2 linked regions of the Solanum lycopersicum genome follow. The protein of the gene in region 1 interacts with the protein of each later gene in a pairwise test. Links are inferred from orthologs where the notes say so. Each region holds a gene or a part of one and is shown on either strand. Other genes may lie near its edges.

Region 1 (4,256 bases):
ATATGAAAAATTCATGTAAAAGTTACTGTGAATTCAATTAAGTGATGCTTAAGTTATTATTATACAAAGAAACTAATTTTAATTAAGCAATAGTAAATTTCATTATACACCAAGCATCAAATCTTTAAAGCAAAAAAGAAAACCCCCAACTCAAAAATTGAGAAAACTTGGACTTAAGATTTTAATATATAGTTCATAAAATTTAATACTTAAAAGGGTTGAATTTGAGAAAATAGTAAAGGTAAAGACATAAGTTAATAAGATTTAACAAAATATTTATATTTTATTTATGAATAATATATAAAAAATTTATATAAAATTTATCGACTTAATTTGGTTATTTTTGTAGTTTTTTTAGTAAAAAAATCCAAACGAAATATGATATCAATTCAAAATTAAACACAACCAAATGAAATCCAATATAAATTCTTTTAATCAATTTAATTTTTAATGTAACTATGAGGGGGAAATAAGCAAATACTTCATAAAAATAAAACCCCATAAAAATAAAATAAGCATTTACTAATTTCGCTTAACTGATACAAAATCAGTATCATATATACTATATTGGTATCACTAACGCTGATAATTTCGCTCAATTGATATTAAATCTATATATATATATATTGTATTGATATCATTAAGATTTGTTGTTAAGATATTACTTATTAGTCAATGATATTATAAGAGCATATATATTCTTATAGTATATTATCGACTGATAAGTAATTCTTGAACAATGAAACCTTAATGATACCACAACAATATACATATATACTCTTATAATATCATTGACTAATAAGTAATTTCTGAAGAAGAAACCTTAATGATACCAATAAATTATATATATTGAGTGTTAGTTAAGCGAAATTATCAACCTTAATGATATCAATATAGTATATGATATCGATTTAGTATCACTTAAACAAAAATTATCACCCTTAATAAATGAGGGTATAGACGGTAATTATTCATGAGAGACTGAATATTTCAGAAATTACTTTCGATTTGAATATAAACTTGTAATTATTTATGATATCTTTTTTATTTGTGTAACAATAATCAATAACTTATACAAACTTAAAAAGATCAAAAACTGCTGAATTGATACTTAAGGAACTATGTTGAACTTACTACAACAATTAAGGGACCATTTTTGTCAATTTTCTCTTCCAAAAATTGTCTTCACTTCTACTCTGCAATCATCAGAAAGATCAAATCTCCAAAGCTGCGGTTCAGCCACCAGCCAGCCGCTTCATTGTGTAGGTATGTTTTCAAAGATTCAATCTTTAATTTCGATTAATAATGATTATAATTTTAAATTATCTCAAAATCCTTGTATTTGCTTATAATCTCAAGTCATTTGGTCATGAGTTGACTTGATACTAATTGATTTTGTTAAAGAAATCAACATCACTAATAATTACTATTCTGTTTCAATTTACGTGACACCTTTTTTGCTTCTCGAGATTTAAACAATGTGAATTTCACCAAAGACTAGTCAAATTAACAGTCAATAAGCAAAAAAATATCACATAAATTGAGACGGATGGAAGGAGAGAACTGCAATTTATTGGATTTAGGAGTTTATGTAAGTGGTCTTTGAGAATTATAATTATAATCCAAGATCATGAGTTGAAGTTGATTGTTTAAAGGGTATAGTTGGATGATTATAGTCTATACTTACATGAAACTCAATCTGCTGGTGCTGTCCTGTCTAATCCCTTCTCGTTTAATTTGATCGTATGAATCTTATTTGATTTTGCTGCGATATAACTTCGTTTAAAATGGGAAGAAGGAAGTGTGTGAATGTTAGTTATTTCTACTTCTGATAAGTAAAACTTTCTGGAGTTGAGATGAGGTTAAATAGCACGATATGGATAATGAGAATTCATATTGCCGACCCCTGACTTTGTTTGGTATTGAAGCCTAGTTGTTTTTGTTTTGAGGTGTTTTTTTTCGGAATTATAGGTGATTCAAATGGCTGATGAGGATAGAAATTTAATCGAGATCTTGGAAGCGAATAGCCCAATAGACTTCAACAAATATATTGGTTATGTTAGTTCTCCTAAATGTGGAGCTATAGCAACATTTGCTGGTACAACGCGTGATACATTTGATGGTAAAGAAGTTTTAGAGTTACAGTATGAAGCATATGTTCCAATGGCAGTACGTTGTCTTAAATCTCTCTGTTCTTCTGCGCGATCATCGTGGGATATCCACTCGATAGCAGTTGCTCACTGCTTGGGTACTGTTCCTGTTGGAGAGACTAGTGTATTTGTTGCAATCTCGTCTGTCCATCGAGCAGATGCATTGGATGCTTGCAAGTTTCTGATTGATGAGCTTAAAGCATCAGTTCCGATATGGAAGAAGGAGGTATATACAAATGGAGAGGTGTGGAAAGAGAATAAAGAGTTTATTGAGAGGATGCCAGAGCTTGGGAATGCATCACATGATCAAGACGGAGCTTGCTCTGGTAAAAAGAAAGTGGAGGCACACGAGAGAAAGAGCTGCTGTGGAACGAAGGTTAAAGTCAATGACGAGTCTGCAGATTCTTCTAGGTAGCTTTGAGGCACATGTTGTATTTCATTCAAACCCGAAAACTAACAAAATGGTTAGTTCATCCCTCTTTGTTGTGTGTGCAATACCAATTATTACATACTCTAGCACATCAGATTTATAGCTGAAGGCAGTTTCTTGTTAGTGTGTACATACGATTTAATTGTGCTCCCATTTAACTCATCATGATTGATTGCTTATGCCTCTAACAGAAGGGGGAGCCTTAGAGAAACGTAAGGCTAGGAGAATTTATGCACACAGTGAGTGAGCCAAAGAATAGAAGTGGTACATTAACACTAATGGATAAAACTATCACTCAACATTCAAATATTCACAAGAACCATACAATGTTAAAAGGGAATGACTTTACTAGTAAGTAAATCATATAAAAGTATGAATTTTTCAGACTTCAAAATAAGAGATCAGAAAGTTTGACATGATCTAACTTCACACATTCACAATCTTTGTTCAAGAACTTCCTATATGGACATCTCTTGCAGGGGGCAAGAGGGCAACAGCACATCTATCTGGACTAGAAAACTTCCTATAAACCGCCTTCAGCTTGTTTTCAGCAGCACCAAAGTGGAAGCTAACTAATTGTTTTGCACATTCTCTGTTTCAAACAATACATGCAACACAATTAGTTCATAATTAGTAGAGTTACCAATCCTAAATGACAACTGTTTTAACTTTTTCTTTACCTCAGCTGGTCTTCTGTGTATCCAGTGTGGTGCTTCAGAGTGTCAGTCCATCGAGGGCTCCTGTTGAGAGTACTACGAGCAGCATAAACAGCAGAAGCAGCAATCTTTGATGGACAGTAGGATATCACAGTAGTGTAGTTCATCAGCCCGAGCTCAGCCAAGAAAAATGTCATGTTCTCCATCTATAAAACAACAAAGAGGGCGCGTATAATCCGCTAAACTAGCTGTCTTTATCTGCTTAAGTAGCTGCAAATTCACATTGAGAATAAAACAATACCTCTTGATCAGATGGAACTGCAGCTTTAATGTAACGAACCAGAAAGACGTATGGCGTTGGGACAGTTAAATACCACTCCAGCTTTCCCAAGATCACTTTCTCCATTAGAAGTATCTGATCCCTGACATAAGCGTTGTCTGTTATTGTTAGGAAGTCATTAACCTGCTGCAGAGACAAACATAACATATCATCAGAGATTATGATTAAAAAATTTACTGAACAGATTTAACACATTTGCAGAATACTTCATTTTTACACCTCTGGTGCCCAAATCTCTTCATATTTGCTGGCAATAAGCATTGAGCTGATGCAAAGTAACTGAAGTTCCCTTCTAGGAACAGGCTCTTCCGACAGGAAACGGTCCATTATGTTGACTGTGAGGTACAGGCTTTCAGGCCTCAGCTCAAACCTTTTGTGTGCTTCTATCAGCCAGTCCACAAGAATTGCTCTCACCCTGTCATTGATCTCTGGCTGTGAATCCATGTAATCACATGGTCGATTTTCGTCCTGAATCAGCCAAATCATCAAAAAACAAGATCAACTTCACGAATGGTTACTGAACTTTTTCCACTATTACAATAAAGTCACAAAACTATTTAGTTACATTAAAGAGAACACAGGAGACAGAAGTTTCACCATACCTCTGTGAGCTTATAGAACTTGTAGATATCCTCAACATATTCAACACCAGCCAAGTGATTATCAATATCAGCAGCATC
Region 2 (4,543 bases), on another chromosome or scaffold:
GGTGGCGGTGGATTTTTATGACTTTTAAGTCTCATCTTTCTTCTCTTTTTAGCTTAGTATTTCTTTTTCTCTTTTTTCACACACAATAATTATTTGATTTTACAGGAAATTTCTATTTCTCACTATTAACAACTTGCATATTGGAAATGGAGAATTACAAGTAGAGCCAATTAAATATAGTGTCATTAATGAAGTTGTTCTTACGATTTTAATTAAAAAAAAGTAGAGTCCAACTTGACTAGATTTACGAAAGTAGACTAAAATTTGTTTCTTTTCCTAGTCAAACTGAATCGCGAACCTCTACTTTTTGTATGGGAATAGATTTCTCATTTGTATGATATAGTTTTTATGATAATGGTCATCCTGGCAAGGAAAAATTTTGCAAATCCATCAAGGTTCCATTAGACAGAACATTTTAGGATCTTTCATGAATGCCATTTACTGGGCAGTGAGCTAAGTTCATTGTTACTACACACTCTCAGTATTCCATACATTGCAGATTCAATGATTTTAGCAAGAGAATTTTGTTCTTGTATTATTAGGGAATAAATAACACAGCTTAGTAATATGATCACACACATAAATACAAGTAAAATAGAGTTCCGATAATTGCAGTTCAGGAACTGAGTTAGCCTCCACTAATAGGAGGTATAATGGCCAATTCATCTCCATCTTTAACAGTGGTGGATTCGGCTGTGTATTCCTCATTCCGGGCAAGAAGCATGCACCCACGTATCTCTTCCAACCGTGGAAAGTGAGAAATGACCTTATTCAAGCAGTCACCGGCAGTACTACCATAAGAAACTTCCAATGGCATTTCAGTCATGCCAGTCAGATCTCTAGCACGGGCGAAAAACAGAAACTTTATTTGAAGAGATCTACTCTCATCTCCATTCTGCTGTAGAGCTTCCACATCTTTACTGTCAATTTTTTTATCAATCATGACAATTGCAAATAACCTGTCCAGTATATTCAACAGTAGGGGTAACGTCTATCAGTTATGCTCCGACAATGACTATTCGCCCTCTAGAATTAAAGAATAACTGAGTATTTAAAAGGATCTGTTACTTTTTCCTAAGAAAATACAACTAAATAATTAAACTTCTACAAGAAGTTGAAATCTAAAAGTAAGTTAAACACTGACTATAAGTAGACTAACTAAAGACACAAAAATAGAATTGAATTTAGAACTATGTTAACATGACCAAAAGTGACCAACATCTTATGTAATGGAAAACAATGCATTTGCAATTGACCAAAACCATTAACCCATGTCCACACACTTCACAGTGAAAGAAAATGATGTTCCTTCTTTTACAACATTAAGTTCAATGCAGAATTAACAGTCATTTTAAAATGAGTCAAGAGAACTAAAAAGAAAGGGTAAATTCAAGCCAAGTTCACTACATCCATGTATGTACTTACATTATGGTTAAGATAAACTTGTAAAGAGTATAGAAGAGTTGGATTTCCAAGTAACGGCAGAAAGTCACAAACTTATTTAAGAAAGAAATGAGAAAAATGACACAAACTAAAATAGTATAGAAGTATTGGATTTCCTAGTAACAGCAAAATAAAACTTAAGTAAGAAAGAAACTAGAAAAATTGGCACAGACTAAAAGAGTATCGAAGAGTTGTATTTCCTAGTAACAACAAAAAGTGACAAACTTACTTGAGAAACAAATGATAAAAGATGACACAGCATATTTTTTTGGAAGCTAAGATCAATTTATAGGATTCAGTCAAAACACAGCCCCACCCCGCCCCACCCCCCCAAAAAAGAAGGAGAAAGCATAGCAAACAGCTAACCACATCAGGAAGTAGATAGGATAAAGATACACCAATTTGTTGAAGGCATAACACCCGACTATGCTATGTTATAGATACAATCAGACTACGCTTCCAGATTTCACTCATATACTAATCCATTAACTTGTTGAATTCCAAATAAAGTTTCAAGCTTAATTTACACAAAATTTGGTTATGAACCATTTCAAAAGAAGACATGAGTATCTATTCAATTTAACTTTGATTTGGATTGAAAGAAAATATAAGTTCGATAACTGTCGTTAAGAACTAATCATCCTGGTAAGGCTCACTGGGTACGTTGTTGTTGTTGTCATCCTGATAAGGCTCATGTCTGCTGTCCTTGTTTATAGATCAATGGGATTCATGGCAGGCTACACCTCCCCTCAGCCCCCACAAACCTCCCAAATAGGGAAGTAAACACTAAATTAAGAGAGCACCGAAAAGATTCTCTTCTTAGTTCTTAATTTATTTTTTATTTTCTTTTAATCTGTTGCCTAAAACCGAGTATATGTGTGTTTATCAGCTAAGACATTTGCACAACTACCTACGAAATTTCTGTTCCAATCTGATGATCATCTTTTCGATTTCTTTCCTTTTTTTTCAATTTTTTTTTGGATGTTTTGTGTCAAACTGGTAAATAGATTCAAGTTAAATCCATAAACAATCTACGTGACTCCTCAATGAACATGTATTCTCCAAGTAACTGGAACATATAATTCTGTTTTAGGCATCTAAGTATAAGCAAAGTATATAATAACAAGAGAGTAGTTAATTAGCATCTTTCAGAATAAGGTCAAATTCTCTGAAACATGTGATTTTAGCAAATTGTCCAATTTTCTAAGAGCTGAATCAACTTATAGAGCAATTTTCATTGCCTCTTCGTATGATAATTTGAGAATTCACCCAAAACCAAAAAACTGTATTCACATAAGAACTGGTCAAAGAGGAATTACAGAAGGTCGAATATACCTGAACCCACAAGTAGAAGAGGGAGAAGCCTCGGATGCTTTCTCTCGAAGACTTAAGCAAAGAATTTGCCCTAATTTCCGATAGAAATTAAAGAAATCCGCAGAAGTGATGGAGTGGGCAAAATTGAAAAGAGGGCACAAAAACAATTAAATTAAAAAAAAAATGCTTAGGGACACTGGAGGCTGGAGCAATACCTTTTTTATTGGAGAAACTTTTAAAAGGTAAAGTGTCTAAGATGAAAATATATTTACTTATGTCTGAGATACAAACATATTTTATAGATTAATTATATATTAAAAGTGACTAATTGTATACTAAATTAGATTATAAAAGGATAAGATATTGTGTCTAAGATGAAAATATATTTACTTATGTCTGAGATACAAACATATTTTATAGATTAATTATATATTAAAAGTGACTAATTGTATACTAAATTAGATTATAAAAGGATAAGATATTTGTTGCGAATAAATTATAAATATAATATTTAATTTAAACTAATAGATCGTTATCTTATATAATTTTCCTTTTTTACTGTCTCAATCACTATTACTCTAATCTTTTTTATTCAATATTAAATAGTGAGTGTTAGAATTTTCTATTTAGTTCAACTAAAAAGAAAATTTAAGAAATTTAGTGAATTTAAAATTCTATGTATTAGAGAGATTATTTTTTAATCATTTATCCAACATAAAATTAACTTAAGTATAAAAAAGTTCATCAACCAAAACAGGACTAAAGTTTAACCACTTTTGGAGGCTATATAATTAAGAGAGAAAGATATTTAGCTTAAGGAGCTTTTAATAACATCAAAAAGTTTTAAAATTTGAGTAAAATATGAGTCTAATAGAAACATATTGTAATTCAAATATGTAAAAAAAGAAAAAGAAATAATATTTGGAAAAAATTTGGCAAATAATGTTTGTCCATACAATTTGCCATTATTTGGCAAATATTTTTGGCAAATATCCCAAAATTTCCAAATACTAGTTTTTTCTAGTATTTGGGCCAAATCTCATTATTTGGGATATTTTAAAAATTAAAATTTTACCCCAATCTTTTATCTTTTACAAAAACACCCTCTCTAGTAGTTGTTTGCGTTGTATTACATCATTTTTTACGCGAACATCAAAATAGTGATGAAATATGTAGTGAATATTAAATAATGATATGATTGTTGATGAAAATTATTAAAAATTGGCTTTAGGTAACAAAGTCATGTACTTTGTTTACTTCACGATGTATGAAATAATTCTTGTTGCACTCACTCCAAATTACCACATTGCTTTAGTGTCATGGACATTATTTGTTATTGTTGTAACGAACATTCATTGACTTGTATTACAAACTTTTAGTTAATTTTGATCGTTTTTAAAACTTGTGTGTATAAATCATATTTTTCTAAAAAGGTAAAATATATTTCCCAAATTTTATGGCCAAACACATGGTGAAATTTCACCCAAATTTTCACTCAAATAATATTTGCCAAGAATATTTGAAAATCTATGACCAAACGCTAGCTTAAATTGACTTATATGAGTTTACACTTTTGGTCTCATTTTAACCGTTGCCTTTAGTTATTTTAGCGTTTATTAAAAAAATAAGGGATAATGCACAATTACCCCTTAACGGATGCCTGAAATTTCAGAGACATATTTACACTATACTAACGTCTTATTATCCCTGAGCTTATTTTATCAATAATTTTCTATTCCGTTTCGACCTACGTGACACTATCTTGTGGATCCAACGCTGATTCACT

Evidence for each region.
Region 2: the proteins of molybdopterin synthase catalytic subunit (region 1) and molybdopterin synthase sulfur carrier subunit interact in a protein complementation assay, tested with the Arabidopsis thaliana proteins (2 studies listed by BioGRID). The link is inferred for Solanum lycopersicum from reciprocal best matches to the Arabidopsis thaliana genes AT2G43760 and CNX7.

What each region holds. Positions count from the first base shown.
Region 1 is NC_090805.1:47,907,989-47,912,244, reverse strand, and holds molybdopterin synthase catalytic subunit, read left to right. Parts: upstream 1-1,128; 5' UTR 1,129-1,266; intron 1,267-1,971; 5' UTR 1,972-1,980; coding exon 1,981-2,565; 3' UTR 2,566-2,614; exon of another isoform or gene 2,615-2,710; intron 2,711-2,771; exon of another isoform or gene 2,772-3,027; coding exon of another isoform or gene 3,028-3,172; exon of another isoform or gene 3,173-3,259; intron 3,260-3,260; coding exon of another isoform or gene 3,261-3,442; 3' UTR 3,443-3,537; coding exon of another isoform or gene 3,538-3,702; 3' UTR 3,703-3,794; downstream 3,795-4,256. Other genes in the region: G2/mitotic-specific cyclin S13-7, read right to left, coding at 3,028-3,172, 3,261-3,442, 3,538-3,702, 3,796-4,044, 4,179-4,256. UniProt on the Arabidopsis thaliana protein: Catalytic subunit of the molybdopterin synthase complex, a complex that catalyzes the conversion of precursor Z into molybdopterin.
Region 2 is NC_090801.1:68,009,163-68,013,705, forward strand, and holds molybdopterin synthase sulfur carrier subunit, read right to left. Parts: upstream 2,939-4,543; 5' UTR 2,779-2,938; intron 960-2,778; 5' UTR 944-959; coding exon 629-943; 3' UTR 509-628; downstream 1-508.